2 linked regions of the Elephas maximus indicus genome follow. Each later gene encodes a partner of the first gene's protein in a complex. Links are inferred from orthologs where the notes say so. Each region holds a gene or a part of one and is shown in the gene's direction. Other genes may lie near its edges. The genes, in order: OSGEP and GON7.

The links.
Region 2: OSGEP (region 1) and GON7 share a complex: the UniProt entries of both Homo sapiens proteins name them as parts of the EKC/KEOPS complex. The link is inferred for Elephas maximus indicus from reciprocal best matches to the Homo sapiens genes OSGEP and GON7.

Annotation. Positions count from the first base shown.
Region 1 is NC_064828.1:30,594,430-30,604,961, reverse strand, and holds the start of OSGEP (tRNA N6-adenosine threonylcarbamoyltransferase), read left to right. Parts: upstream 1-5,472; 5' UTR 5,473-5,684; coding exon 5,685-5,691; intron 5,692-5,702; exon of another isoform or gene 5,703-5,938; coding exon 5,939-6,061; intron 6,062-7,575; coding exon 7,576-7,695; intron 7,696-7,880; coding exon 7,881-8,056; intron 8,057-9,652; coding exon 9,653-9,748; intron 9,749-9,902; coding exon 9,903-9,952; intron 9,953-10,095; coding exon 10,096-10,174; intron 10,175-10,532. Other genes in the region: PIP4P1 (type 1 phosphatidylinositol 4,5-bisphosphate 4-phosphatase), read left to right, coding at 1-37, 483-588, 769-821, 924-1,014, 1,931-2,074; APEX1 (DNA-(apurinic or apyrimidinic site) endonuclease), read right to left, coding at 3,142-3,659, 3,790-3,982, 4,488-4,675, 4,888-4,945. UniProt on the Homo sapiens protein: Component of the EKC/KEOPS complex that is required for the formation of a threonylcarbamoyl group on adenosine at position 37 (t(6)A37) in tRNAs that read codons beginning with adenine.
Region 2 is NC_064828.1:106,785,225-106,796,841, reverse strand, and holds GON7 (EKC/KEOPS complex subunit GON7), read left to right. Parts: upstream 1-6,759; 5' UTR 6,760-6,797; coding exon 6,798-7,005; intron 7,006-9,330; coding exon 9,331-9,425; 3' UTR 9,426-9,680; downstream 9,681-11,617. Other genes in the region: putative E3 ubiquitin-protein ligase UBR7, read right to left, coding at 2,159-2,254, 3,134-3,194, 3,853-3,986, 6,394-6,543. UniProt on the Homo sapiens protein: Component of the EKC/KEOPS complex that is required for the formation of a threonylcarbamoyl group on adenosine at position 37 (t(6)A37) in tRNAs that read codons beginning with adenine.

The DNA of each region.
Region 1 (10,532 bases):
TGACTTCCCAGCGGATTGCCTGCCCTCGGCCCTATTGGTAAGAGGCATCAGGTGGGGAGGGGCTTAAGTGGGGAAAACTGGAAAGTCAAAGAAGGGTGAATGTTTATGGAGACTGTAAGTGTGTTGTAGTTTATTTAGGAGAAAACGTTAGGGGCTGTTGTGTCTCCCAGGGTTATAGCCATCTATTTCATCTCTCCATAAAAAGATTGGGAGGAAATGATGTCCTTTAGGAGAATGGAGAGCCTCGGACTGGGTGGATTATCCTGAGGTGAAGAGAAGTGAAGACATGACTTCTAAGCAGTGTGTTTCTTCAAGGATTCTTTGTAGTGGAGATGAGGGATAGAGCCCCTCTATGGAGAAGCAGAGGAACTTGATAAGAGAGGCGGTGGGGGGGAGGGGGTAGCGGTGTGGAGGGGGGTGAAGGAGAGATTAAAATCCTTGGGATTAAAAATGTTTTAAACATCGTCTTTTCTCATATACAGCAAAAGAATCATCAACCTGGGGCCTGTGCATCCAGGACCTCTGAGTCCAGAACCACAGCCAGTGGGTGTCAGGGTGATCTGTGGACATTGCAAGAATACTTTTCTGGTGAGGAGGGGCATTGGGGAGCCCAGGGGAAAAACTAGGAGTAATTATATTTCTCTCGAGTAATAATCTGAACCCTGAAAAAGTATGTTTCCCGCCCCCACCCCTTCCACCCAGGGTTCTCACTGAGGACGACCCTGCTTCTACCGTTAATCAGCTTCTCCTTTTTTTCTTTCTCCATAGTGGACAGAGTTCACAGACCGAACCTTGGCACGTTGCCCTCACTGCAGGAAAGTGTAAGTGATTGGGGAGTGGCATCATCGAGCTGGTAATCCAGTAACGTGGAATAAAAACTACGAGAACATCACAAGCATCCACTCCTGTTTGCCTCCCCACAGGTCGTCTATTGGGCGCAGATATCCACGAAAGAGATGTATCTGCTGTTTCTTGCTTGGCTTGCTCTTGGCAATCACTGCCACTGGCCTTGCTGTGAGTAACCTTGACTCAGCCCCTTTCATTCTTCCTGTTTGCCTCTGTCTCAGCCTTATCTCCATAGGCTGGGAGATTTGGGAAATACCTACCCTAAAGAAAAGTGAGGCACAGTGGTTAAGTGCTTGGCTGCCAGCCGAAAGATTGGTGGTTTGGACCCACCAGCTGCTCCATGGCAGAAAGATGTGGCAATCAGCTTTCGTAAGAGATTACAGCCTTGGAACCCCTGTGGAGCAGCTCTGCTCTGTTCTGTAGGGTCGGCTATGAGTCGGAATTGACACAAGGGCAGTGGTCTTGGTTTTAAGAAAGGTGAAAGAAACTGAGGACTGTTTGCTTAGGTTTTCTTTTAAGGTATGGATGAGCTAATGTTGAAGGTAGCTAATCAACATTCTTTTTCATTACTGTAGGAATGAAAAATGGCCATTCTCTCTCTCTGCACAGGACAAGACAGTGAAGAAGGGGCTTAGATTAAGATCTGATATTAGGAAGCATGGAAACCCTGGTGGTGTAGTGGTTAAGCGCTAGGGCTGCTAACCAAAAGGTCAGCAGTTTGAATTACCAGCTGCTCCTTTGAAAACCTATGGGGCAGTTCTACTCCATCCTATAGGGTCACTATTAGTCGGAATCAACTCGACGGCAGCGGGTTTGGTTTTTTATTAGGAAGCCTGGCTCAGTTGTGAGACATTAAGAAAAACTGACAGGTGTCTGTCTGGGATGGTATGAATGTTTCTGCCTAGGGGAAGGAAACTGAGCAGCTTGGCCTTTAAAAAGGTCCCTGAAGGTTTTACAGATGGGTAGGGACTTGAGACAGAAGCTTGAGTCTGTGTCACTTCACTATTACTAGGGCTCCTGGGAAGTTATAAGAGATCAACACTAACCCCATCTTTTTTTCCTTCTTCCTCCTCACCTCTTTCAGTTTGGCACATGGAAGCATGCACGGCGATATGGAGGTATCTATGCAGCCTGGGCATGTGTCATCCTGCTGGCTGTGCTGTGTTTGGGCCGGGCCCTGTATTGGGCCTGTATGAAGGTCAGCCACCCTGCCCAGAACTTCTCCTGAGCCCCACCATGATATACAGACTGTGCCTGGCCCCTCCCTGGTGGGGACAGTGACACTACAAAGGGAGCTGGGATAAAGGGCTCCCTGGGCTTCCACAAGGGAAGCCAAGCAGCTGCCTTCCTTTTCCCAGGGGAGAGGTAGGAAGGAACCAGGCCCTCATTTAGGTTTGGAGGGGTAGGTAAGACCACTGATGGCCATCTGCTCTCCTCCAAGGGTTGCTGTGTTTAAGGGTGAAGTAGGCGCAGTGTTGCCCCTAAAGCTGGGCTCCAAAAGACGGTTCTAGCCTTGTGCTTCCTATATGCCCCGAGAGCCATTCCTGTCCCTTACACATTCTAGGGCAGGGGTGGGTGGGGTAGCCCTGGGGGTTTCCCTCCCTCTTGTGCACCATTAGGACCTTGCTGCTGCTATTGCACTTCACCAGGGGCTGGCTCTGGCCTCAGTACCCTCAGTCTCCTCTCCCCACATTCCATGTCCTGTGGGGGTGGGGTCAGCCGCTGCTCTGTACAGAACCACGGGAACTGATGTATATATAACTATTTAATGTGGGGGTATGTTCCCCTAGTCCTGTATTTCCCTTTAATTCCTCCTTCCAACCTTCTTAACCCCAGTTGCAGTATCTATCTGGGCTGGGTAGGGTTGCTGCGTCTTGGGGGAGGTTAGGGATTCATCTATGCTTGTAAATAAATACGGTCATGACTCAACTCTTCTCCATTTGTTAACTTGCATGTATGAAGACAGGGAAAACGAGAATTTGTAGTCCCACCAAGAAACAGATAAAACACAAAGGCAGCAAGGCTGAAACTATGGCTTTTTATTTTCACAAGGACAGTTCAAAAGAAGTCATCAGTAGCTTTTATTTAATGTAAAAACAAACAAAAAAAACATGAAACAAAAATCTTGCGCTTAAAAGTTCAAGAAAGCTGAAATTTGTCACTAGAAGCCTGTTTGGAGGATTCATATAGTTTTAGAAGGCAAGTACAGCACAGGTTTCTTAAGAGGAAGTTTTGAAGAAGAAATGCTAGTTTAGGGGGCTCATTTTCCAGACTCAAAGCGATTTTTGGGAGGTCTCACAGTGCGAGGAGTAGGGTGATAGGACAGTGATCACTGCCTAAGGCCTTGGAACGGATCTTGCTGTCACACAATGCAGGTAACAGGGAGTGAGACAACAAAAAATAATCAAGGCGCCAGCCAACATTCTTGGATCGTGCATTCATCATGTAGGTCCAAAAGGTATAGGCATAGGCCGTGTCAGGGTAGAGGTGCCGGAAGCTGTCAGCCAGTGGCACAGCCTGCAACAATTCCCCAAAGCCTTGCCGCTCTTGCGGAGTAAAGCCAGCATTCTTTTTGTTTCCTTTGGGGTTGCGAAGGTCAATCTCTTCATGAGCCACGTTGAGGTCTCCACATAGCACAAGAGGCTTGCGTGAAGCCAGGCCCTTCAGGAATTTACGAAAGGCTTCATCCCAGCGCTGTCGGTAGTCTAGCCGCACCAGACCCCGGCCCGCATTAGGTACATAGACTGTTACCAGCACAAATGCATCAAATTCAGCTACGATCACCCGGCCTTCCTGATCATGTTCCTCCTCGCCTATAGAAAAGATGAAGGAGAATCAGAGAAAACTATAAAAGAAAATGAAGGAATAGAGTTGGGGCAGGAGGACAGTATTAGCAATTGGTTCAGAAGAGCTCAGGCATTAGGGATCAATAGAGTGTCTCACCGATGCCATAAGAGACTTTGAGTGGGCACTGGCGGGAGAGTAGGCCCACACCACTGTACCCTTCCTTGTCTGAAGGAGCCAACCAGTACTGATGAGATAGTCCAGGCAGGTCTTGAAGTTCGGCTGGTAGTTTCTTCTCTGAGCATTTCGTTTCTTGGAGGCACAGAATATCTGGAGCTTCTTCCTTTACCCACTGGGAGTGAAGATGAGAAGGTCTTATCAACTCAGACATTTGTTTAATCTCCGTATGACAAGAGAAATTCACAGGAGAGGTTTGAGGTTTTGTGCATAAGGAGTTCAGCAGTCCAGCAAAACAGTATTTAAACAATTATAAAACAATGTTAAGTGTTCTAACAATGATAACTAAAGGAAGAAGGTGAGAAGAGGCTTATATGCGCAGTGGATAGCTAAGTAGTACTTATTGGAAGGAAAGATATATTGGAGATACAATGGAGAAAGTCCAATAAAGAGGTTTTTGAAACACTGGAAAAGAAATGACATGAATAGTGGCAGTGGAATTGAGGGAATGGCCGTTTAATAAAAATTACAACTAGCAAGTCTTTGTGAAGTTCCCATTGTACCTCTCCCACAAGGTAATTAGACAAGGAAAAACAAAAACTGCATCCGAGGGAACAAAAAGAGAAAAAAGGGATTAAACCCAAGATCAGTACTAGAGAATTTCACTTCCTCTTACTCACATCTAAACCTTTCTTCTTAATCCACGCTCGAAGCCCATCCACATTCCAGGAGCAGATTTTAAGTGTGGCGGATTTGCCACTAGGTGAGGTTTTCCGATCGGGGGGGTCCTCATATAGGGCTGGCCCCTCTCCTGCTGCCTCTTTGTCGTTTTTCTTTGCTGCCGTCTTACTCTTTTTGGCCTCTTGCTCTATAAAATTAATAACACATAGTGATAAAAGCTGGTGGTTTCCCACCCTTGACCCAAAGTTAACCGTATGCGCGAGAACCTACGACTTCGATCACATAAACCTTCAAAAAAAAAAAAAAATGGGCCGGTCCGTACTGCCTCCTTCCTTCATCGAGACAGTGGAAGCACCCCCACCGCAGCCTCCAGGAGAGGAGCTCGTTTTATTCTCCTACCGATCTTGGGCTCTTCCCCGTCTTCAGCCACAGTTCCCTTTTTCCCACGCTTCGGCATCCCTGCAAGGAATACCCTTAGGCACTTCTTCCACGTCGCCCACCGAAGCAAAATTTTTAGCGCGCTGCCTACGGATGCAAAGAAATCGTGAAACCAGCTAAGGCTAGCAACGGGGAGACTCCTCTCTCAGGCATCCCCATACCAGATGTCGCCTCTAACCGCATTATCTCTGAATCTTTTCCCTGCCTCGGTGCATCATAGGCCCTTCAGCCCCACACGCACTGGACAAGATTGTTTTACAGTGCCTTGGCCCCTCCTCCCGATAGCTGCCCTCCGGCCAATCTAAGACCTTAATAATGGGCCCCGATTCAGCCTAGCTGGCCAGACCTCAGGAAAAATCCCTCTGTGGGCAGAACAGCACCCCCATAGCTGACCTGCTCGAGTCCCAGCCCGACTCCTCCTTACCCGGGCACAAAGAATGGAGCCCGTTGTGCCCCCACGTGGGTAACTGGCGTAGTCACGTGATCCTAGGTCCGCGGCGGGCGGCCGAGGAACGGCAGTGATTGGTCTGTCTGTCACCACGTGACGAAGCCCGGCCTTCCCTCTCGGCTCCGTTTCTCCCGGGGACTGAAGGCCCCAACCCACCATCCTGGGGCTGTTTATCTTTGTGCCAGATGCATAACTCATCCTGCGACCCTGACCGAAGATCCCGACGCTGTGCAAGAGGGAAAAACATCGGGGGAGAAGCTGAACTGCACCAGGGGAAAATACGGGGAGCGGATAGGAATGTAAGGGGCAGATGCCAGGTCAGTATGCCTGGCAGTTAGGAGGTCGGGTCCTTGAAGGGGCCTTCACAGGTCGCCGTGACGACGGGGGCGGTGCGCGCATCTCGAGCGTTCCAGTTAAGGGTTCTCTGGGGTCTGAGACGGTGCGTGTTGCTGTGTACCAGCCGCGGGCAAGTCCTCTTCCTTTTCAGCTCGGATTCTGCGGCTGAGCCCGGACTGGTGAGGCGCTCCACAGGTCACCAGGAGCCCTGCCGGCGTTTTCTTTCAGGCTCGACCATGCCGGCGGTGCTGGGTTTCGAAGGCAGCGCCAACAAGATTGGCGTGGGAATAGTGCGGGATGGCACGGTGTTGGCGAACCCGCGGCGGACTTACGTCACTCCGCCGGGCACAGGTAAATGACTAGCGGACTTGGAGTTTACAGCGCGCTTCACCGCACAGCATCACCTTCTGTCTTCCTAAACGTCAGTGAAGTGGGGTGCATTATCCCATTTTACAGCTTTTGATCCGAGGCTCACTGATACTACTTGACAGTGTTAAGGTCACAATTATGGTGGATAGAAGAGTCAGCAGGCACTTGGACCTGGATCTTCAGGATTCGTTCAACTTCTGTTGAGCGCCTTTTCCTTGCCAAGCATTGGCTGGCTGCTGGATACAAAAATAGATGTCATGAGCTTGCTGTGGAGTCGGGCATATAGACACAGTCATACTGTAAATGGTATCAGAAATGCAATGAAAATATTCTAGAACCAGAAGGAGAGTGAGCGGTCAGAGTGGAAAGACTCCCGGCTTAGAACTTGCTGACTTTGTAATATTCGTGGTCACTGTCCATGTTCTTGGATTTCTTTACTTTTAAAATGGGGATAATAAGACCTGTCTCACTGATTCTTGAGAGTTAAATGGAAGTAGCAGATACATTACAACTTTTCATAAGTGTTATTTTTAAGCTGTTGTATCCTATTTAGCCTACCCTCCCCCAATACACCTGCACACTTAGGAGAGAGCAACTGACATGTGTGTACCTGAGAAACTATGTATATTTAGCATTTACTCTTCTAGGCACTTGGGCCCCAGGAATGCAGAAATAAATAAAATAGCCAATGCTTTGAGGCACTCAGAGTTAAATGGGAGAAACTTGTAATTATAATGCTATGATTGTTACATGTTAAGTGCTGTGTATAAACTGAAGGACTTCAATCTTCCTTTCCCACAGAACACCTGGTAGAATTCTTGTCAGAGATAGCTCAGCATTGTTCTCAGCTTTTGAAAGGGTTAAATAGGGTCACAAAGGAAGATCACCAAAGGGTATGGGGTAGGTATTAACTAGGATTGAGTCCGGAAGCTGTGTTGCTTATGAAGAAGGACATTTCTGAGAGCTGAACAGCCTGTATCCTAACCAAAAAACCAAACCCGTAGCCATCAAATCGATTCTGACTCATAGCGAACCTATAGGACAGAGTAGAACTGCCCCCATAGGGCTTCCAAGGCTGTAATCTTTACAGAAGCAGACTGCTCGCTGGGTGACTGGTGGGTTCAAATCACTGACCTCTCGCTTAGCAGCACTTTTAACCACTGTGCATCCAGAGCTCCTTAACAGCCTACATAACCTACTTAAACTTACTGCCGTTGAGTTGATTCCAACTCATGGCAATCCTATAGAACAGAGTAGAACTGCCCTGTAGTTTCCAAGGAGCGCCTGGCGGATTCGAACCAATGACCTTTTGGTTAGCAGCCATAGTACTTGACCACTGTGCCACCAGGGTTTGCCAGAAATTGTGAAAAGGAATATCTGAAAGCCCGGAAGACGGCATACTTCAGGAGAAAGGAACTCTTCCTACAATACTAAAACTTTTTTCTCTTCTACTTATCATTGCAATGAAAAACCTCTGACCTGTGACCATCTCCTAGGATTCCTCCCAGGTGACACTGCCCGGCACCATCGAGCCGTTATCCTGGATCTCCTGGAGGAGGCACTAACAGAGGCTGGATTGACCTCCCAGGATATTGATTGTGTTGCCTACACCAAAGGTATGGCTGGGAGCGTGGTCAACAATGGAGGAATGGGCCTAGAGCCTGGCTGGGTCAAAATAACCTACACCTCACCTCAGCCACCACCACCACTAACTTCTACCCCACCTCTCACATCCCTACTTTCGCCATCCCTATTTCTCCCAGTCTCTGTAGGATTCTAACGCCCATTTCTATCCCCCTAGGCCCTGGCATGGGTGCCCCACTGGCGTCTGTGGCTGTTGTTGCCCGTACTGTGGCCCAGCTGTGGAATAAGCCGTTGCTGGGTGTGAACCACTGTATTGGCCACATTGAGATGGGCCGCCTCATCACTGGAGCCACCAACCCAACTGTGCTGTATGTCAGTGGAGGAAATACTCAGGTATACAGAAAACTTCAGCAATATCTTTTTAATTTCTGAGATGCCATACCAGCAACTTATGTGTTCTACATGGGTGGCAGGAACTGCAAGAACAAAGCTGGACTCATCTGAGCCTAAAATGTTAGACATCAGAGAACCCGCAACAGAGTTTGTAGCATTGCAGACTTGGGCAGGACAATCAGAGTATTCAGGAACTTTTATGTATGTAAAGATTAGGAATCTCCAGTTTAGAAAATTGAAAGACTGGTAAGGATTGAAGCCTTCGAAGTAATGGAAGGATTTTTTTATATTTTAAAGCTTATTTTTTTTCTATAAATCTTAACAATTAAGACTAAGGAGCACTACCTGATTTGTATTTTTATTTTTCATGGTAAATGTATAGAATTCATTATTCCAAGAGTGTGAAAATATAAAAATTTTAAAAAGTATTTTATAAATGGTAAAGGTCTTACATTCATAGGTGAAACTAGAGTTGTTTGGGGTATTTGCAAGACCTTTTGAGGATGGAGTCAGAGGACTCCAGTCCTCCTTTCCTGCAGAACACCTGACGGAGCTCTTGTCAAGGATAGTTGAGCATTGTCCTCAGCTTTTAAGAGGGTTATGTTGTAAAACTTCATTTTGTGAAATAATTATTAAAGATGAGGTACACATAGTCATGGAATTGATGTGAGAACTTCAGGAGGTAGAGGGTTAGGAGCTGGTTGGAGCTAGAAGGATGACATAAAAGGTTAGGGATTTGGGGGATAGACAGTAGCAGAGAAGTCTACAAGGGTCAATGAGGACGATCAGAGATGGAGTTTTCCCTTCTTCCCTTGTGAAACTTGCCTAGTCATAAAAAACAAGACAATTGGATAGAGAGGAGTGAGTAACAGAAGTAGAAAGACAGGATTTTTCTTTCCTCTTTTGTCACCAGCGTTTTGGCAGCTGAAACCCCTTGATGACAGAGTAAGATTTACATCAAAAAGGAAAGAAAGCCCCAGCAACTCCGATAAGGGAAAAGGACTGTTTATGGTCCCTGGGGAGCCCTCACTGTGGGAGGTGTGGAGCAGATGTGTCTGTCAGTGGGTGATAAATATTCCCTGTGCTAGAAGCTGGTCGCATGTGAAGAACAGACATAAGTCAGTTGCCAGTGCTGAGTGGAGTGGGCCATTAGTCTAGCCCAACAGAGGATTTTGAGTTCTTCAGCTCTGCCTCTTCCCTTGTTTCCAGATACCACTGCCCTGTTAGTATAATCTAGAAGGGCACTTGTATTGTACCCTGCCTCTAAGCAGGAGAACCTGTTCCCTAGTCCACATTTTCAAATGGCGTCCTGGAAAATGTTTAAAAAAAAAAGTATATGAAGTGATGGTTTGCTTCTGAGTCAACCTGGAATACCTTCGGTAAGTTAGGAATCTTTTCTGGGAATCCTTGTATGTGGGCTGCTTCTCAGGTAAGAGCTACAGAAAATTACCCATTCAGGATTTGGGAAAATACTTGTTTTTTTATTTAGTATTGGAAAGTTTAGTGGCCATGTTGATCCTCTGCTGTGTTCTTCCCCAAAGCCAAATACTCCTCTTTACAGACTTGAGGTTTCATGGACATCCTCACCACCCTTAGGTGATTGCGTACTCAGAACATCGTTACCGCATCTTTGGGGAAACCATTGATATTGCAGTGGGTAATTGTCTGGATCGCTTTGCCCGAGTGCTGAAGGTGAGGCATTGGGGCTGCAGAGATTATAAGATGTGGATGACTTTCTGGGGAGCTGTGGAAATGGAGGGAGGAATGGGTAAATAAGTTCCTTATGGTTCCTGGATATCTGACCTCATCCTGTCATTCACTTCTTTCCCGTTTTTCTCTCTGCCAGATTTCCAATGATCCAAGTCCAGGCTACAACATTGAACAGATGGCAAAGCGGTGAGGGGTCATAAAATAAAGGGAGGCTGACTGGTGGGGCTTAAGGGAGTTCCTTGTATATATATTATTGAGGATTGGGGGGGCTTCGGGGGGGCAGCCAGCTGACTCTAGGCTTAGTGCCTCATACACTCCCTCCCACATAGAGGCAAGAAGCTAGTTGAGCTGCCATACACTGTAAAGGGGATGGATGTCTCATTCTCAGGGATCCTGTCTTTCATTGAGGTAAGTGTGGGAGAGGTAATGAGATGGGGGCACTTTCATGTTTCCTTGATGAAACATACCTGTTTTGCTCACTGTCATATTTTCCGTATGTAGCATAGGGTTGGTTCATATCAGATGCTTAATAAATTCATTCAGCAAATAACTTACTGAGCAGCTTCTATGTGCCAAGCACTGTTCTAGGCAATAGAGATACAGCATGGGGCAAAATAAAAACCCCTGTCTACTTGGAGCAAAGACGATAAAGAAACAACAACTCAAAAAAAAGAAAAAAATATAAAGCGTGTCAGATATAACTACTGTGGAGAGATAAAGCAGGGTTAGGGGGTGTCAGGGCACGAATTAAAGAGATAATTATCGA
Region 2 (11,617 bases), about 76 Mb from region 1:
CAACTTTGAGACTCCTATTCACATGCCAGTACTCAAAGGGATAGGGTGAAACAATGGATCAAAGGGCCAAAGAAATCTGTTCTACACGAACTGGTGTCATGTAAGGGTTTCACTGGGATAAAACAAAAAACCAAGTGCACTGCCATCAAGTCAATTACAACTCAGAGCAACGTTACAGGAAAGAGTAGAACTGCCCCATAGGGATTCCATGGAGCGGCTGGTGAATTTCACCTGCCAACGTTTTAGTTAGCTGCCACAGCTCTTAACCACTGTGCCACCAGGGCTCCTCATTGAGATTAGCACCTTGCCATTACCAAAAGCTCTTTCATATCAATTACCTAATATCTGGAGCCCTGATGGCATAGTGGTTAAGAGCTTGGCTGCTAACCAAAAGGTCAGCAGCTTGAATCCAACAGCCACTCCTTGGAAACCCTATGGGGCATCTGGTTTTAAAACTTCGTAAGCAGGGCATTTTCATTTTCCCATTTTACACACAAACTGAGGCCCCGGGAGGGAATGTGAATTGACCAACTTGGAATGTGGCAACTGGGACTTCTTACCACACCATGCTGCCAAGAAAACTGAAAAGTAAATGCGAAAGACACTTTCTTGATAATATGGACAGCAACAATTTCTTTCATTTGAATTAATTAAATAATTAAATGTCAACCCTAGAAAGATTATATACCGAAGGACGTAGACAGTTTTTTGAATGATTTTCCTTTCATCCCCAGGCTTTCATGTCTACTGATTAACAATTCCAATGCTGTCCTGTCTTTTCCTCGTCTTGTTTTTTCTGTCTTTTGATCCAACAGTTTTATAAGATATCAAAGATATCTTCAATTTGTTCTTCTATATAATTCGGTTCAACAATTACAAATCTAAGACAGTTAGAAAGCAAGGAAGAAGGCTAATTTCTCTAAAGATAAAAAGAACTCCTTTAGGGTTTGGGGACCATGGTTTCAGGGGACATCTAAGTCAATTGGCATAATAAAATCTATTAAGAAAACATTCTGCATCCCACTTTGGAGAGTGGCATCTGGGGTCTTAAACGCTAGCAAATGGCCATCTAAGATGTATCAATTGGTCTCAACCCACCTGGATCAAAGGAGAATGAAGAACACCAAGGCACAAGGTAATTATGAGCCCCAGAGACAGAAAGGGCCACATAAACCAGAGACTACATCAGCCTGAGACCAGAAGAACTAGATGGTGCCCAGCTACAGCCGATGACTGCCCTGACAGGGAACACAACAGAGAGGCCCAGAGGGAGCAAGAGGACTTCTAGGCTCCTAGAGTCTGACAGAATAAATTTCTCTTTGTTAAAGCCATCCACTTGTGGTATTTCTGTTATAGCAGCACTAGACGACTAAGACATATAAAGATGTTCACTGCAGCCTTTTTTATAATAGTGAAAAACCAGACATGACCATTCTCGTACAGAAGAAAATTTAGGTGAACTAACTCATGCCATATGAAACTATGGAATACTCTGCGACACTTAGAATGATGTAAATTGGTGTTTACATCTGACATGGAAGGATGGCTATGATATGCTGAGAAGAAAAGTTGCAGTACTGTTTTCACTTTTGTTTAAAAAAAAGGAAACTACACAGAAACACACATTCACTCAACTACTTACACGTGCATTGAAAAAGTTCTAAGAATATATACATCGAAAAGTGTTAACAGTGGTTTTGTCTGGGAGGTAGGAAGGTACAGAAGTGAAGAAGAAAAACTCTTAATTTTGTATATATTCCTAACGGAATTTTTAAAGAGGGCCTAGTTTATACACTCAAACCGCATTTCTTTCCTTTCAAGGAGGCAAGAATTTAAAGGTCATTTCTTGAGTGACTGGGGGAGGAGAAAGCAGGCAAACAGAGAAAGGGAAGAACACAGAGGGAAGGAAAGAAGTCTTGGCCTTGGGAAAGTTCTGGACAATGTTTCATTTTTATAATGTAAAAGTGAGAATAGTAGTTCAGATCTGTACCAGTAATAAATCTAGCCCAGACTCATTAAGAAGGGATAAATTTAGAATTCTTTCACAATATGCACACCCCCCCTGCTGAACAGCTACAGAAGCCCACATATGTCAAGAGGCTGAGGAGTTAAAGCCAGTGATAACGGAGCCCCAGGTTTTAACCTCGAATTCTCTTACCTCATCTTCAGGATCAGGATAAGGTCTCTTGCAAACGCAGTACAGTCCAAAAAAGTTGTCATTGTACTTATTGCCTGAATTTACCTTTGCTTTATCCTGAAAGACAATTTCAATATGTAACATTGTTTAATTTTAACTACAATTTCACGCATGATGAAATGTATGCATTAAATTAGTATCTCCCCCCGCTAGAAGCTGGTCTTTAACTTTCAAAGTGCAAAGAAAAAAAATCACTCCCACTGAAGGGACACTTTTCCCAAGATACAGAAAAAAGATAAAATTTATTTTTTGTAGCAATTAGGGGAAAATTGAATATACCCATTCAATTAAATGGAGAAAAAAATTAATTATTAATTATTAACCTATGTAAACTGACATTGACCTGAAATTTTGGGGGTACTTCTTTATGACCAGCAGGGATAGTTAAGGACCCCACGGTACTAGGAGATCAAAAGCAGGCAAGGAAATTGCCTAAAAATACCTTCAAAGGAGGGAAAAAGCATGACATCTTTAGCAATTACAATTGAACAATGTGGCATTTCTTACTTTCTCTTTCATTTGTTGTTTTATTGAAGGTTTTTGCATAAGCAGGTTTTATTAACAAAAAAGCAGTGAAAAACTCTTGTGTGCATCTAGCCCACATTCATTGCTAGCATGTTTTACTTACTCAGTTTTTAAAGTCATATTCTTTTCTCTAAAAGCCTCACAGCATGAACACAACCGACATAACTGAACCTGAAACGCTTTTAAGAACATTTTTCCCCCAAACCCTTCACATTAATTACAATCTATTCAGTAGGCTTAGAACAGGGTATACGGTTTTTCCAACAAAGTGAAAAATAAAATAAGTCTATTATTGATTTGACCACTGCAGAGAATAAGAAGTTCCTTTTTGGAAAACATTTGGTTTTCACCCACTCTGGCAAATATCAACTTCAGCTTCTTTCTCCGCATTTATATATAGTGCTTACTTACAGGAAATAGTTTGCATTCCAAATTTTTAAACTTGCTGTTTCCACAATCACAACGAAAATTTCTGAAATAAAGGAAGAAGAGCCAATTTTATTTTTCTTTTTAACTTACTCTTTAAACTCAAATCATAGCCTACTCCTTTTTCCACAATTTTCCAGGATCTAAAAAGAAGACTTGGTTGCTGTTCAGGTATTCAATTCAGAATGTTCCCAAACACATAACAATAAATGGGATTTTACATTCTAGAAATTAACATGCATAAAGACAGATAGATATATCATATATATATATACCTGTGTATAAAACCAAACCAAGCCCAGATTCCAACTCATAGTGACACTATAGGTCAGAGTAGAACTGGCCCATAGGGTCTCCAAGGAGCAGCTGGTCGATTCAAACTGATGACTTTTTTAGTTCACAGTGAAATGCTTAACCGCTGCGCTGCCAGGGCTCCCTATGCATATATCTACGTACACGTAACTATATCTACATACATGTAAATAGATGTAAAACAATGGCAGAGAAGAATGAGTAGCTTCAGCTTGTACCACAGTTATATCTTAAAAGGCCCTCTAGAAAAATTACCTTCTCTAATTACATTATATAAAATAATTATATTAAATGTCACTAGTGCACAACTACTTTTAAGGGAAAAACAAAATTAAGAAAAAAAAGTGCAGCTGGGAAAGGAGCATTCAGTAACAATCTCTGACTGGCTTTACCTTTTCGTATATAGCTCAAAAAGTTTATGACTTCCATGGCATTCGTAACTGCAAGCTAGGCAAATCCCAGCTGGTTCTTCTCCCTCTGGGGTGCACGTACTACAGGCATATAGTGCTTGTCTCTTTACTGAGCCCTAAAAGACAGCCCCAAAATGGAGAGAGAGAGGATGAATTAATAAAATATGGCATAGTTACCTAATACGTATACTAACATCTGAGAAATAATTAAAATCAGATTACCTGTGGTCAATATCTTCCTGTAAAAACCACCGAGAAGTGTTGCATGTTTCATACCACTATACATGTACTACACTATGCTTATTTACATACAGTTTCTTCTTAAAGTGATAAGAAGTCTTAAAATTTCAGTCAACTGTGAACAAGTTGTTCTGGTTAATCATTTTAGCACATGAAAACACAGGAGAATGCGAGTACCCAGTTATATCACACCTTAATTTTGGAAAAGGCTTATAATTCTACAAAAGAAATCAATGCATTCTTAGGAGATGCATGCTGAAGTATTTAGAGGTGCAGTGTCATGATATCTGCAACTTCTTTTCAAATGGTTCAGTCAAAAAGAAAAAAAAAAAGGAAAGTGTTAGAGATAAAACAAGGAATGTATGTGAGAGGTATACAGGTGTTCATAATCTTCTATTTGCAGGTTTAAAAAATTTCAAAATACAAATTTGAAGGGGAAAAAAGGTAAAACTTATGCTTTTAGAAAGCGTGATAATGGTTACCCTCCTGTAGGGAGGAGGGAGAGACACAGGGAGGCTTCTGGGATGCCAGTAATGTTCTATTTCTTGATCTGGGTGGTAGGTATATGGACGTGGTCACTCTTTTTCAGAGCCATACTCATGTTTTGTGCAATTAGCCATTAAAAAAAAAACACAAAACCACTGCTGGATTTTTTTTAGCATAATTTGCCATTATGCTACAATAAAGAAAGAATTTTAATTAAAGCTAACTTTCATAAAGCTAACTACATTTCAAAAATAGTGTACAAACAGACTTAGGACCTATCACCATTTTTTAAAAGGACAGTAAATGTTGTTTCAGTGGTGATCAGAGGTTTTAAAGTACCAGCCAACAGCTGGATGCCAGGTTTACTCAACAATCTAACCACTTTACAGTGCAAATTCAACTTGGTCATTGATGACAACTGGCATTATGATCTCAGTGCACACCACATGATGACAGCAAGTCTCTCTCCTCATCCCCCAATGTTCCACTCGACCCTCCTGTCTAGGTAACCTTCCTCCTATAAATTCACACTCCTTGTTTCCTCCTGTCCACCTTTCTCCACTTTGATACCTAGAAATATAGGATGAGTCGCTGAACACTACATCGGACCCTCTCGAACCCTTGTTCACAACGTCTTCCAAATGTCAAATTTCCTCTTCCAACATATTCTTTCCTTTTCTCCTCTCCCTGCCCCGCTTGCCAGTGTCACCTGCTGTTCTGGCTCCAGTCTATTTCCAAGGCCGGCAGACTACAGGCAGCCATGGCACTTGCTTCATTTCACCACAAAAGTACAAGCATCTGCCAAACTAAACGGCAGAGAGGAACTAGCTGTTCAGCAGCCCACGCCACACAGGGCAGCTTTCAAATCCAGAGCTCTTTTAACCCTGCTTTGACTCTCCTGATAAATATCTAGTGGTTTTGATCAAAGATCCTATAGAAGTATCCTGATCAAAAGGAAGAAAATGCAGAACAGAATTTCAAAATGTCATGAACTCCAGACTTTCTGGAGCTATGGAGGCTGGATGAACCCCTGAAACTATTGCCCTGATATCATCTTTAAGCCTTACATCAAAAATATCTCCTGAAGTCTTCTTAAAACCAAGCAATAGTTTAGCTTAACTAGTAAAAAAGGTCTGCCTTGAGCATTATGCTCTTTTAAGAACTACCTATATGGGATCAAACTGACAACGGTAACTTGAAAAATCAGATAGGAAACTTAGGAGGCAGTGAGTTTATGTTAATGGGGAGCAACTCAGAAGAGGAGGGTGAGACTGGCTGCACAAGTTGAAGAATGCAATCAATGTCATCGAATTGTACACGTAGAAACTGTTGAATCGGTGTCTGCTTCGCAGCGTGTATTCTCAACAACAAAATAAATAAAAGTTTAAAAAAAAAAAAAACCTAATGGTTCTGTTCTTAATAAATGCCCTTAGAATGGGAGAAGTAGAAACAAAGATGTCTGGATTTGAGAAGTCACGGGGATGGTTTCCTAAGAAGTGGCTGGGCTACCAAGAAGACACTGGAGATGGACTGAGCAGCCGCTCCAGGGTCAAGCCTGGAGAATCCCGAGCGCTGGATGGAGGAAGACTGCGGGAGGAGAAAGGCTGGGCACAGAACGACAAAGGGGCCCTGGGAGGATAAAGGCGCATCCGGGCCTGGAGCGGGAACCCCAGAGGCGAACATCGGCCCTGGACCAGCCCAGGGGAGACGACCGAGGCGCCTGGAACTGGGAGTCTGGCCGGGAGGGGTGGCTCAGCGGGAGCCGGAGGGGACTTGAGGCCCGGGCCGCGCGCCCACCTGCGAATAGGAGCACTTCTCGGAGTCGCTGCCGCCCAGCACAGCGCACGCCTCATTCTCCAGTTCCTCGTCCTCCTCAAGGACGTCGACCAACGATACCACAGGCTCCAGCTCCGAATGCCGCCCAGCGGAGCCCTCTGCTCCGGCCATCCTCAACTGTCACCCGGCTCGCAGCTCTGCCCCGGCGGAGGCGGGAAAAGCGGCCGCGAGAGGCGTAGCCGGAGGAGGCGGGGCCTGAGTCCCGGGAACCAATCCCCAAAAAGGGAAGTGTCCGACGGGGGAGGAGCGACTCGGGACAAACGGAAGTCACTCCTCTCCCTGCTCCCGCCCGCGCCCGCAGGGGCCTGATTTCCGCTTCCGGGTGACGTGTTCTTGTGGCGCGCGCTTGAAGCTCGGCAGTCGCTATGGAGCTGCTAGGGGAGTACATAGGGCAGGACGGGCAACGGCTGCGGCTGCGGGTGTCTTGTGAGGCGCCGGACGACGGCAACCCTTTGCAGGGCCTGTTGTCGGGGGTGGTTCAGATGAGGGAAAGGGTGGCCGAGCTCCTTGGTCCCCTGGTACAGCGGGAAGCGCAGGACCCGTTGGCTGCGGCTGGAGACGAGGCCTTGGACGGTGAGTTCTGAGGCGAGGCTGAGCGGCTGGGGGGCGGGGCGGGGCGGGACGCTCGGGGAGACTCTCAGGGGAGCCTTGTGGAGTGGCGGACTTGGGGAAGGGGAGCCCTCGATGGAAGGAGTACTCCCTCTAAAAATTGTCGGCACTCACGGCCATGTGTATCTAGGCTGTTTATATTGAAGTGTTTTCACAACTTTATCCCCCAGAACGTGCTGAACGCGCCTACTCTGTCAGGCACTGGGCTGAGCTAGAGAAAGAATGAGGTGAATGGAGTCCCCTTGTGGAACTCACAGGCAGATGAGGGACTAGACAGGTAAACACTGTATTAAGGAGTGAAAGTATAAATCCTGTGCCTTCTGTAACTATTGCAAACCGAGAGAAGGCTTCAGAGAGGGCATCCCTACTTCTGATCTCAGTGTTGAGGATGAAAGGAGTGTTACCAGGTGCGAGATGGCTCACGTGTTTGGAAGACTGCAAGGTATCGCAGATTCCGAAGATTGAAACAGACTTCAGTTTAACAAGTCTTAACTGAGGAACTCCTTTTTTATATCCTGGCTTTGTAGGTGGTTGTTTGGAAGTAAAAACGTGAAATTTAACTGCATTAACTTTTAACAATCTTGTCTGGAATACAAAAACGGGTGGATTTTGACTGCCTGAGCTGAAAAACCTAAGAACTAAATATTGGAGTCGGGATTTCTTCCATAGATGAGCTTAAACAGTACTGTCCCTCTTGTTTTCCCCTTGATAGTTCTGGATAATGTGGAGAGATCAATTCAGGACATTACACTGAGTTCAAGATAATAGATTGTTTCCATGAGTACGTTAATTGGTGGTTGCCACATATATTGAGAGTTAAGTCCTGTTTCTTGGCTCTCTAATCTGTTAAAAATGTTATAACGTAAGAACAAGAGTATAATAGCTAGAGCTATTTTTTAAAAATCTATCATTACTTATTGGAAAATAACTACCATTTGTCCTGCTGATAATAAGTCAGTAATAGGAGGACATGTTTTTATATATTTAATGATCAAGTTTTTTGCTTTTGCAAAAAACGATAGAGCTTAAAATGATGGACTTTATGTGAATTATATCTCAAAAAGTATGCAAAAATAAAAATTATAACAGCTGCTAAAAAAAGTGACAGAATGCAACCCTTGAAAGACAAATAACCCATTTTTGAAATGGGCAAAACATTTGAATAGACAGTTCTCTAAGATATACAAATGGCCAATAAGCGCATGAAAAGCTGCTTAACGTCATTAGCCGTCAGGAAAATGCAAATCAAAACCACAGTGATTAATGGTGATGGGTGAAAAACGTGATGAACGTGTTTGTATTTAATGTCACTGAACTGTGCACGTGAAGATTGTTGAAATGACAAGTGTTTTGTTACCTATATATATACTGTCATTTTAAGAAGTTGAGCTACCACTTCATACCTACTAGGATGGCTATAGTGAAAAAGATGACAATAACAAGTATCAGTGAGGACGTGGAGAAAGTGGAACCTTCATACCTTGCTGGTGAGAATGTTAAATGGTGTACCTGCTTTGGAAAGCAGTTTGGTTTTTCCTCAAAAAGTTAAACATAAAATTTCCGTATGACCCAATAATCCCACTCCTAGTCTGTATCCAAGAGAAATGAAAACATGAATTCACACAAAAACTTGTACACAAATTTTCAAAGCAATATTATTTATTATAGCCAGAAATTGGAAACACCCCAAATGTCTATCAACTAATGAATGGGTAGACAAATGTGTATCCATCCAATGGAACAGCACTCAGCAATAAAAAGAAATGAAGTACTGATACATGCTACGACATGGGTGAACCTCGAAACCATTACGCTGAATGAAAGAAGTCAGACGCAGAAGGTCGTGTATTGTATAATTCCTTTTATATTAAAAGTCCAGAACAGGCAAATCCATAGAGACAGAAAATAGATCAGTGGTTGCCAAGGGCTGGGGTGGGAATAATGACGAGAGACTGATGATGAATAGGGGCTTTCTTTTTGGGGTGATGAAAATGTGCTAGAATTAGATAGTGGTGATGGTTGTGCGACCTTGTGAGTGTACTAAAAAAAAAAATAAAGACACTTTAAAAGAGTGTTATAGTATGTGAATTATATCTCCAAAAAAAAAGTGATAGAAAAGTTTTAGGTTATAAATTTCTAAAAATTTTTAATCATACGTATTTTGAATCTGAGATATGCATGGTTTTATTAATTCCAAAACTGAAATGGTTTCTATCAACCATTTTAAAGATCTATATTTCTTTTGAACCATTGAACATTTTATCATACAACAAATATTTATTTTAAAAGGTGATGGTGAAGATGATGCAGAAGATGAAAATAACATTGATAACAGAACTAACTCAGATGGACCATCTGCAAAACGGCCAAAACCACCGTCTTAACAATAGCTTTTATGAAATTTAAACTGAAAGACTGCTACTGTCCTAATTATCACACCCTGACATTTCAGGAAGACTTGTGCCCTAATTTGGAAAAGCATCTGTTTTGTTCTCCTGGGGGAGTTTTGTCAAAGAAAAAGCTTCTGTTTACAGCAAAGATATAATAAATGCTTAGAAATAAATCTTGAGTGAGAAAGAAAATTTAGACTGTGGAAATAAAATAGCACCGTTGAATTAAATGTGTGATGTCTATATCTTTTAACTTCTGCTTCTGTTATAAAAAGTACATAACATTTCAAGAACTAACATGAGCAAGTGGCAAAAGTTGGGTATTATAAATGTAAGTGTGGTGGCTCTTTACACGGAGAAGGAAAATTAGGGCATAGAGAGAAATACAGAAGAGAAAGAGCCTTTGAGAGAGAACCAAACCAAAAAACAAAACAAAACAAAACCGTTGCCGTTGAGTCGATTCTGACTCATAGTGACGCTATGGGATAAAGTAGAACTACCCAGTAGGATTTCCAAGGAGTAGCTGGTGGATTCGAACTGCCGACATTTTGGTTAGCAGCTGTAGCTCTTAACCACTGCACAATTAGGACTCCTGAGAGAGCCCCAGACCAACCAACCAAACCCATTACGTCAAGTCGATTCTGTAGGACAGAGTAGAACTGCCCCATAGAGTTTCCAAGGAGCGCCTGGTGGATTTGAACTGCCGACCTTTCGGTTAGCAGCTGTAGCACTTAACCGCTACACCACCAGGCTTCCAAGGAAACCTTAAATCCACACTCACACCCAAAATGTAGACATCTTACCACTCAATAAATATGTATTAATCACCTGGTTTAACTTGTGCCTTAAGGGCCAGATGGGAGGCCTTAAGTTAATCTGTTGACTAGAGCCATTTCCTTTCCTCTTGTAGCCATACTTGCGTAACAGGACTATTGATTTCTTTTAAAAATAGATATTCCTAAAATAGTGTGTTCCTTTTCTACTTGTTAGTAGGACTAAGGCATTTTGATTTACCGTACATCTTTCCTGATTTATTTAGATTGCTAAAGTGCGAATGAATGCAAAGATATCAAGTAGCGTGTACCCTAATGAAATGCAAAGCCATAGAATTTTTCAATTGGAAATAACCTTAAAAATTATGGTTTACTTCAGAAATAAACTGAATCTCAGAATAAGTATTTGCCCTGAGTTACACAGCTAACCGTTGGCAGAGCTGAGTTACATACATAGCCTTTCGCCATGTTTTTAAGCTGATAAAAAGAGAAATCAAATTCCCTTGCTTTGTCTAGTATCAGGACTTCAGCTCAGTTACTGATTATAATAATCTTGTATCGGTATATGATTCTTAAAAAAACTTAACCCTATAGAATTAAAATAGATCGTATTTTTAAATTGCTAGCAGAACTTTGCTCCCTGAGTATTTTATGCTTCCTTTGATCAGTAAATGTATAAAGGAGAAATGTCAAGATAATATTGGTGCTTGTGGCCCAGTGTTTTGAGATTCTGGGTTATAGGTTTGATTGATCTTTTCCTTAATTTTCATACTGATTCAGATTGTAATACCGTCTTCAGAAGCGGGCAGCCTCTGTGACAAAAAGGATCAGTTTGAAGAACCAGTGTGGAAGCGGGCCACCTCTGTGACAAAAAGGATCGGTTTGAAGAACCAGTGCGGAAGCGGGCCACCTCTGTGACAAAAAGGATCAGTTGGAAGAACCAGTGTGGAAGAAGTGCGTTGCCTAGTTTTCTAGCCCGCTGCCTTCTAGTGGTTCTGACATTAACCATAGGCAGGCAGAACAAAGTTAATCGCTGAAACAGCTTCAGCTTTCCTTTTCCACGGGAAAATCAACCGCATGATCCTACCTAAAAATAAGCTATTTGAATTTGATATCAGAGAAATCTTTTAAAATGTGAACCATACAGATTGTATGCACGATGACTGAAAGTAAGTGCTTTTGTGTCACATTAAGAAAAACAGGATTCTGTAGCCAAGGACAAGACCAATTTTTACCCTTAAATAATAGGTTGTGGTTGCTTGGTGGTAATATTAAAAAAAAAAAAAAATTTTTTTTTTTTTTAAATTTAGGAAGTTTAAAAATCACCTGAGAAGGAAAGTTATTTTAGAAAAAAGGTATGGAAGGAAATCAGTGTATTTTCCCCCCAGTTTAGAAACGGGTGTTCACAGAGGA